2 linked regions of the Coturnix japonica genome follow. The protein of the gene in region 1 interacts with the protein of each later gene in a biochemical or structural test. Links are inferred from orthologs where the notes say so. Each region holds a gene or a part of one and is shown on either strand. Other genes may lie near its edges.

The links.
Region 2: the proteins of RAB11A (region 1) and RAB11FIP4 form a complex in vitro, tested with the Homo sapiens proteins (2 studies listed by BioGRID, with this or other methods). The link is inferred for Coturnix japonica from reciprocal best matches to the Homo sapiens genes RAB11A and RAB11FIP4.

Annotation. Positions count from the first base shown.
Region 1 is NC_029525.1:16,456,747-16,460,378, reverse strand, and holds part of RAB11A (ras-related protein Rab-11A), read right to left. Parts: intron 3,120-3,632; coding exon 2,926-3,119; intron 2,470-2,925; coding exon 2,389-2,469; intron 1-2,388. UniProt on the Homo sapiens protein: The small GTPases Rab are key regulators of intracellular membrane trafficking, from the formation of transport vesicles to their fusion with membranes.
Region 2 is NC_029533.1:7,735,977-7,740,192, reverse strand, and holds the start of RAB11FIP4 (rab11 family-interacting protein 4), read left to right. Parts: upstream 1-1,295; 5' UTR 1,296-1,561; coding exon 1,562-1,696; intron 1,697-4,216. Other genes in the region: SCPEP1 (retinoid-inducible serine carboxypeptidase), read left to right, coding at 1-40. UniProt on the Homo sapiens protein: Acts as a regulator of endocytic traffic by participating in membrane delivery. Required for the abscission step in cytokinesis, possibly by acting as an 'address tag' delivering recycling endosome membranes to the cleavage furrow during late cytokinesis.

The sequences.
Region 1 (3,632 bases):
ATGTGGTACAGAAACAGAGGCAGCACTGAATGAGACAGGGAGCGGAGGCTGACTCCAGTTTACTTTAAGGATGCTTTATCCTGCTGTGAATGCTCACAGGGGATAAGATTAAAACACCAGTCTCTCATATTTGCCAAATAATACAAAGCAGCTTTGTGTGCACAAGAATTAGCCCTTGAAGTCTAGACATCTTACAACAGAGGAGCTTGGACAGGGACCATTATTCTAAGCCATAGAAGGAAAAGGTCCCCAAAACTCACCTAGTACAAACAACAGGAGAGGAAGTGTACTAGATTTAATGCCTTGCCCCCCCCACTGCCCTTCTCCAGCAAATCTATAACACAGCAAGACAAAAGGAAAGTTTTCTTCTTCTGCTACCATCTGTAACAACAGACCACACACTCACTTAAGACTGTGCTAACTATAATAGATCCATGTTTCCTACACCCAAAGCTATCGACCTAAGGTGGCTTCATCTGAGAATCTAGGTGTAGACCACTGTCCCAACCAGATCACCTTCCGTAGGGCAGGGAAACAAAGGAGTTTTGCTCCAGATCTCAGTCAAGACATCCCTGTCCAGGAAAGATCTAAGCAGCTGAGAGGCACTGACAGCAGCCTAAGATGTCTTTGCAGCACTCTTCCCAGCATGGAAGATATTAACTAAGCTGGTGCAGCAGCACGCCCTGCCCCTTCTGTCAGCCTCCTCCACACGATGCCTGTGGCAAAGCCTGTTGGCTTTATCAACTTTCTTCTTCAAATGACAGCAAGTATTCATCTAGGGTTACATTTGGAGGCAACCCAGCCACATACATACAGACTATCCATGATTCCACAGGGTCACTCTGAAAACCACATTCCTCAGATGACTGCTCACCTCTTTCCTTCAAAGCAAATCATTAACACAAATAGCCAGCTGTGAAGTGTTATCAAGAAGTTTATTGGCAGAACATTCATCCTTTGCATGCCAGTTACAGCAGAGATGGAGGCAAGCCTCTGCTAATGTATTATTTACTTCATCTTTATCTCCCTGAAACAGGAGTTGATGTCTGGAGCAAACCATGTGCCCACTAATCAACAGAAGTGTTTCTTCCAGCACAGCTGAACCAGCCCTTCCTCAAGAAGGATTCTGTCCGCATGCCCAAGAGTTCAAAACACTGTCACAGCAACACAGGGAGCCCTGACGTTTCTCAGAAAGCAACAGCCCCAACACTCTGTCAGAGTCCACTGAGGGCTAATCTTAATCATTTGCTCTCACATTACAGACTGCTATCCTCCAGAAATAAAACCAGGAAAAACAAACAAACAAAAAATACATATATTATATATATATGCATATCAAACCTCCACTAACTAGAATCCAAAATAACTTCTGGAATAAAAAAGTGCTGTTGGAAGCATACCAGGAGAGAGAAAAGAAACAGCCTAGTGCGTGCCCAACAGGTAAACTGCTTCTCCATAACAACAGCAGTATACTGTATCTGAGCATCACACAGACAGGCAGCAGCCCAGAGCACACCAGTCATCACTGCAATGGCACAGAGTGGTCCACGAAGGGGCTGAGGGCAGTTAGATCTCTCTCTCACCACCCCCCCACTGCAAGGGTACTCATAATATATTTCAAACAACCCAAGAAAATGCTCCAGAATGTATATTTATTAATTTTCTAGCTACCTCCCGCACTGCATGTTCCAATATGGCTAAAAAGTCCTTTATGATGCGTTTGTGTAAGAAAGTATCTATTACTTGCCAAGAAGAGAGAGAGAGAGAAAAAAAAAAAAAATCTAACTAGCTGCCAATGTCACAGAAGCGAGAAGTTACGCCTATCAGACAAAGGGGTTAAACAAAAAGGAAGTACCTCATCCACTGAGCATGAAAACAGCACCAGTCAGTGCTATCACGTGCTACAAAGGCCAGAAGTCCAGCCAGGTTTATTATATGCACTGACAGCAACCACCCTGCACTCAGGAGTCACTGCGTCCCAGACTACAGTACTGCTCACTTCTTGGCAGCTGTTATGCTCACTAATAGTGATGGAAACAAGGTAGATTGCGTTCTCCTCTGACAATAGCCATTTTGTGTGGAGGTGGGCATCAGACAATTCTCTCACACAGCCACTCCCTGTTCCACAAATGGGAAAGTGAAGCACATAAACCAGGCGGACTGGAAACCCAGGGCAGAGCAAAGTGAGTAAGACCAGACTCATTCCCAAGCCCTGTGCTGGTCTATCAACTATGACACTTCAAAAGCAGCGTCTGAATATTACAGCTGTGAGGAATGATTGAATTGCTAAATTTTACACACTTTATAGGCAAATAAATGCCTATTTGCTGCGTATCAGAGCAGCGTTCTGCCCTTCCTCCTCCAAACACAAAGTATTAGATGACTCACCTGTCAGAATAGTCTGGAAAGCTGCTTCCACATTTGTAGAGTCTAAAGCAGATGTCTCGATAAATGACAAACCATTCTTCTCTGTGTGGACAGAAATACTATAATTAGAGATGTATAACATTTATCTCCCATCCAAAAGAACTTTTGTACCAGACAACGTACGAGGTGTTGCTGATGAGATAGATGCATTAGTGCTAAAAAAAAAAGCATTAAAAGTTGTAGGGTTTTCCTCTTTATGATCTGAAACCATGCACAAAACACAAACCTAAACCCACCAGCAGAGCTTCTACAAGAAAAGCAATGCATAGGCACGGAACTAAGTCTGTTTTAAAACTGTTTTCAAGTGCCTCTGGCAGATTCTTGAGAGTCTATCAGCATACAGGCTCTATAGGACTTCAATTTTAACTGAATGAAAAAAGACATGCAGCAGTACGTGGCACTGAGTCTTTTCCCTCCTACCTGTACACTCACGTATTTCACATCAGGTAGGCAGAGTCTGGACAGTTTGAATTAGGAAATTCTTTTGAGTTCACCAACCTGCAAAAGCTCTGGCCTCATCTGTAGGGACTGCTCTCAGGTGGCGCAAGTCACTCTTGTTTCCCACAAGCATGATTACAATATTGCTGTCTGCGTGGTCTCTCAGCTCTTTCAACCATCTCTCGACATTCTCGTAAGTAAGGTGCTTAGCAATGTCATACACCAGTAATGCCCCTACAGCACCTCGATAGTACCTGTGGGTGAAGAGATGTGTTACAGAACCAGCAAGAAACATGATGGAAAGTGACAAGCTACTGAGTAATAACTGTTTCCCACTACTGCAAAGACAGTTATATTAAAAATAATAATAACACACAGCATGATACATGGGACTTGAAGCAGCTGAAATACAGCATCCAGACCAGGGTTAATCCGTGTGACCACAACAGCAGCCAGGGCAGCTCAGGGGCTGGTGGGTTACCCTGCACCTCAAAAATGAAGCACTGTATCTGTGGGGGATCTACTGTCACCTTCAGCCTCTGACCCACACCTGAAAGGCTCCCCACCCACCATTGTGGGTGCAGCACAGGCACAGCCCGGAGCAGCAGGAAGACTTTATAATGACTCACTGGATCATAAAAAAAAAAAAACCATCAACTTGATGTGTTCTCTTTATGAAATGCCCCATTTGGTTTCCTCTCAGACCAGGGAGAGGCACAGTTACACATTCAAAAAGAAAGAGGTTGTGCTTTCCCACCCCACAATTA
Region 2 (4,216 bases), on another chromosome or scaffold:
CCTGAAAATGGTCAGGATGGTGACCCAACAGAAGCAGTAGGGCAGGGGAGGCCAGCTGGTATGGCCTGCTGCTGAGTGCCAGCGTTTGTGTGGAGTGTGAGGAAAAGAACAAATAAGCTGCAGGAGGAACAACTGGTATTTGGACACAGCCCCTCTGAGCTTCCTGATGATGTGTAAAAGCATTTCTGAAAAGGCAAATTTCTCCTTGAATGAGCTCTAGCTTTTGAATTTCTAAGATGTGGTTTGGTGCCTTAATACTTTTCAGAATGACTCTTCCAAGATGATTCCTGTCTCATAAACAGCTGTAGGCTCTGCCTCTGTCTTGGAAGGGTCCTCTCCATTTTGTTTTCTTGTTTGTTTGAACATCAGGACTGAAACTGACGTCTGTTCTGGTGGATTAGCTGCTCGTTCCTAAGAGCAAACCTGCTGTATGAAGTTTTGGACTATTTCCTTTCCTTGTCTTTGGGTCTTTGTCCTTGAGTTCCCTGGCTGGATTAGAAGCTGCAGATTTGACAATGCCAGCGTAGCAGACCTACACAAGAGGGTGTGCAGCCCATCTCAGTGAGATGAGATGCCTGAATGAGGATGCACAGTTCCTCAGGCTTCCTGCACAGCCTCCCTCCAGGGGAGGACTTTAATCTCCTTCATCTGCCTGTTTCATTCACTTCTTAACGACCCAAATTTTGTCTTTAGCTTTAACACCTGAAGTGCATCCAGCAGCGATTCCTGCTTTCTGCTGTGAAGGAGGAGCCCTGCAACACCTTCTTCTTGTGCAGAAGAGAATCCCAATGGACTGAACCCTCTATGAGCTTCTGAGCATGGGTTGGAGAGTAGAAAGCAGGATGATATTAAAGCAATAGTAGTGTCATTCTGAACGTTTATAGCAATACCTAAAACAAGGATTTAATGAGAGCCAATATTTTCACTACTTTTTCTTGATCTCTTAAGTCTCATAGAGGCTTCCTGGTTTTGGAAGCAACGCTTTTCATATGGAATACTATCAAAAGGAGACTTGATCAGACATTGTTTGATTTTTACATTGGAGCATGAGGTGACTGCTCTGTATCGGTGTCTGGTAGGAAGCACAGCATCTTGTTCCAGCTGTCAGAATACCAAATAAACAGCAGCCACGTTCGGGTTGGTCTGTAGTCCTGACTGAAGGCAGCGCTGTGTTCTGTTCTGTTCTGGGTACGGTCCGATTTGTCTTAACAACCGGCAGCGGCCAAAGCTGCAGTTCCGGCTCTGGCCGCTGGGTGGCGCGAGCGGCCCTGCCATCATTCCCAGTCATCGCGCACCTGCCGGCCGCCGCTCAGCGACCCCTGGCCGCCGCCCGGCGCCCCTCCCTCCATCCCGGCTCTGCCCTATTGTTCTCCGTTCCCTCGCTCCCTCCCTCCGCCCGGGGCTCTCGTTCCTCCCCGTTCTCCTCCTTCCTTCCCTCCCTTCTCTTCTCCCGCTCCCTCCGTCCCCTCCCGCTCCCCGGAGCCGCCGTCACGCTCCCTCTGAAGGCGCGGTTGATGATGGCTGCAGCGGCCGTGCCGCCGGCCTCCAGCTAACGGCCGCGATGGAGCCGGCCGGCCTGCTGCGGTTCCTGAGGAAGCTCAAGGAGGTTTTCGACGTGTGCGACGAGGATGCGGACGGCTTCATCCGGGTGGAGCACTTCGTGGCCCTGGGGCTGCAGTTCGGACAAGGAGATGAGGTGAGCGGCGATACCTGCGCGGCCCAGGGCGGCTCGTCCCTCCCCGACCCCCCGGCAGCCCCATCCCGCTGCTCGGGGCCGCTCCGCCCCTCAGCGGGGCAGGGCAGGGCAGGGCCCCCTCCATGGGGTCCCGGTTCCCCCCGGTCCCTCCGAGCCCCCCAGCCCCGTCCGGAGCCGTTGTACCCCGGCACAGCTCCGCATTTCCTGCCCGGGTTTCGGTAAATCCCCTGTAAATGCGCGGAGCGGGACCGGGAGCCGACACAGCGGGTGTAGACACGGCTCGGTGCGAAACGGCTCCCAGTGTGCGATAAAGGGATGAAACCGCTTTAACTAAAGGACCTGGAGGGATGAAAAGCCGTAGACTCTTGTTTTATCCACCGAAAGAATAGGGGGTGGGGGTGGGGAGAGAGTAATAGCAGACAGCCGTGATCGCTGGGTTTATTTGTAAGTTGTACGCTTTTACATCAACTAGAGCCGTCTCTAAACCCTCGTTGCCGGGTGTGTTGTGTTAAATTGCTCCTCCCGCTGCTGTGTTCGTTTGGAGGCAGATCGCTGGCTCTCACAGCACGGGGGAAGGTCAGTCCCGGAACAGCTGGGATTGTAACGAGCCGTTTTGGTCTTGGAAGTAGATGGATGAGGTTGTGAGAGGCCACCGGGATCAGCAGGATGTGAAGGAGGACTCGGTGATGGTCCTGGGGTGTATTGGGTGGGGAATGTTTAAATGAAACAAAGAAAAGAGTGAAACTGGTGATCGCAGCAGAGATGGCAGCAGAAAAGCATCAGTTGTCAGTGATGGCATCTCACAGGGGAGGCTGCGGAGCCTAAAGAGACACGGCTGGAGCGCGCCTTGTTTAGCACACAGGATGTATTTACTGCCACTGACAGTCAGCTGTGTGTGTGGAGATGCTGCACAACACGCCTCGGCTCCTTTCACATTCAGAAGAAATCTTTCCATTTCTGTATCTCCAACTTCCCAGACCCTCAAAGTTTGCACTCTATACATTCTCAGTGCTTCACTGCAGCTCATGGCTCAGGCATTTAACCTCAGAGGTGTTTTCTTTCTCTCTCCTGATGACAGAAACTCGGAGTGTGAGACATTTTGGTTCAGGGCTTAAAAATAACAGGCTCAGGCCTTGCTTTCCTGATGAACATTCTGTTTGTGGAAGGACCTGCAGAAAGAGGCTGCTCCCAAAGCAGTGTGGCTGGGTGGCGTATGCACAAGTTGAAGCAACACTTGCCATAACACTGAAAAATGCCAGGAGCCTCTTGCCATCTGCTTCCCTTTCCCTGGGCAGACAGTGTCACTCGCAGCTGAGTGTCTGGGAGCTGTGGGTGATGCGTTCAGCCAGCCCCGGTTCTGGCAGTGGGTTGTGTGAATGTGTATTTCAGGGTAGTGCCAGCTGAGGTTCCGTTACGCCAGACTCTATTTAAGCTTTACATTCAGTTTTCTGCAACAAGTGAAACGTGCTGAAACTGTGGAGTGTTTCTTTTGGAGGGTTGGAGTCGTCTTTGGAGGTGTGCAAACGACGGATGCTGAGACGTGGGGAGATCAGCAAATGCTTATTGACTTGAGAGGGAAGCTGAGCAGCTCGTAAGGTCTGTTAGCCAACATCAATTATTCTGGTAGTTGGACAGTAATTGACTTGAAGTCAGTGGTTCTCTAGGAGTGTAGAACAGAAGTAGCTGAAAACAAGTTGACATTTTGTGTGGACAGATGAAACTTGCTGGCCGAAAGATGCTATTGAAATAAGGAGAGCTCAGTTGCCGTGTTTAGTTGCTTCCATTTGATGAGTATCACTGTCCTGGGCTGATAGTGGAGCAGTCAGCCTTGCATGGTGCCCAGCAGGCAGTGGCTGCTGGCTGTGTTTGCACTGACAGTCCTTACAGACATGCTCCATTCCGACTTACCAAAGCACCCAGAGCCCTGCCCTGAGCACAGCCGTGCCCACATCCATGAGCAAAAAGGCTTTGAGACATTAAAATGGGAGTGTTACAGAGTGATACCCCCGTTCTCTGAGCGAAGGCACAACGGAGTTATGACTTTTCTTCTCTGCTATTCCTGGAAGTAATTACTGAAAGCACAGCTCAGCTTGCTTAGATACCCCAGGATGCAGAGAGCTCTCCTGTGTGGCAGCGCTCTCTGAATAACAGCAAAGCTGCCATATACAGACTCCTTAAAAATCTGTTTTCTAATGACCCAGATACTTCATATCGCTTTGAATTACTTGGAAAATGTGTAGTTATGGAACAGTGCAGGCTTATGGATTGCTGTAGCTTTATTAACTCAATGCAGACTCTCGGAGCAATATGTTTGAAGTAGCCTTTTGGTGTTCACTGAGCATGGATTTGCAAACAGCTGACCCAGGGCTTGCTTAGCACTTGCTGTTAATCAAACATCTTCATAAGCGCTGTTATGAAGAGGAAGCTGTGGGTTTGCTGTGCACTGGGGAGTTTAATTTGTTATGTAATAGGTTTGCATTTCAAAGGTATTTGCTTCCTCCATCCTCCTCCCCGCACCTC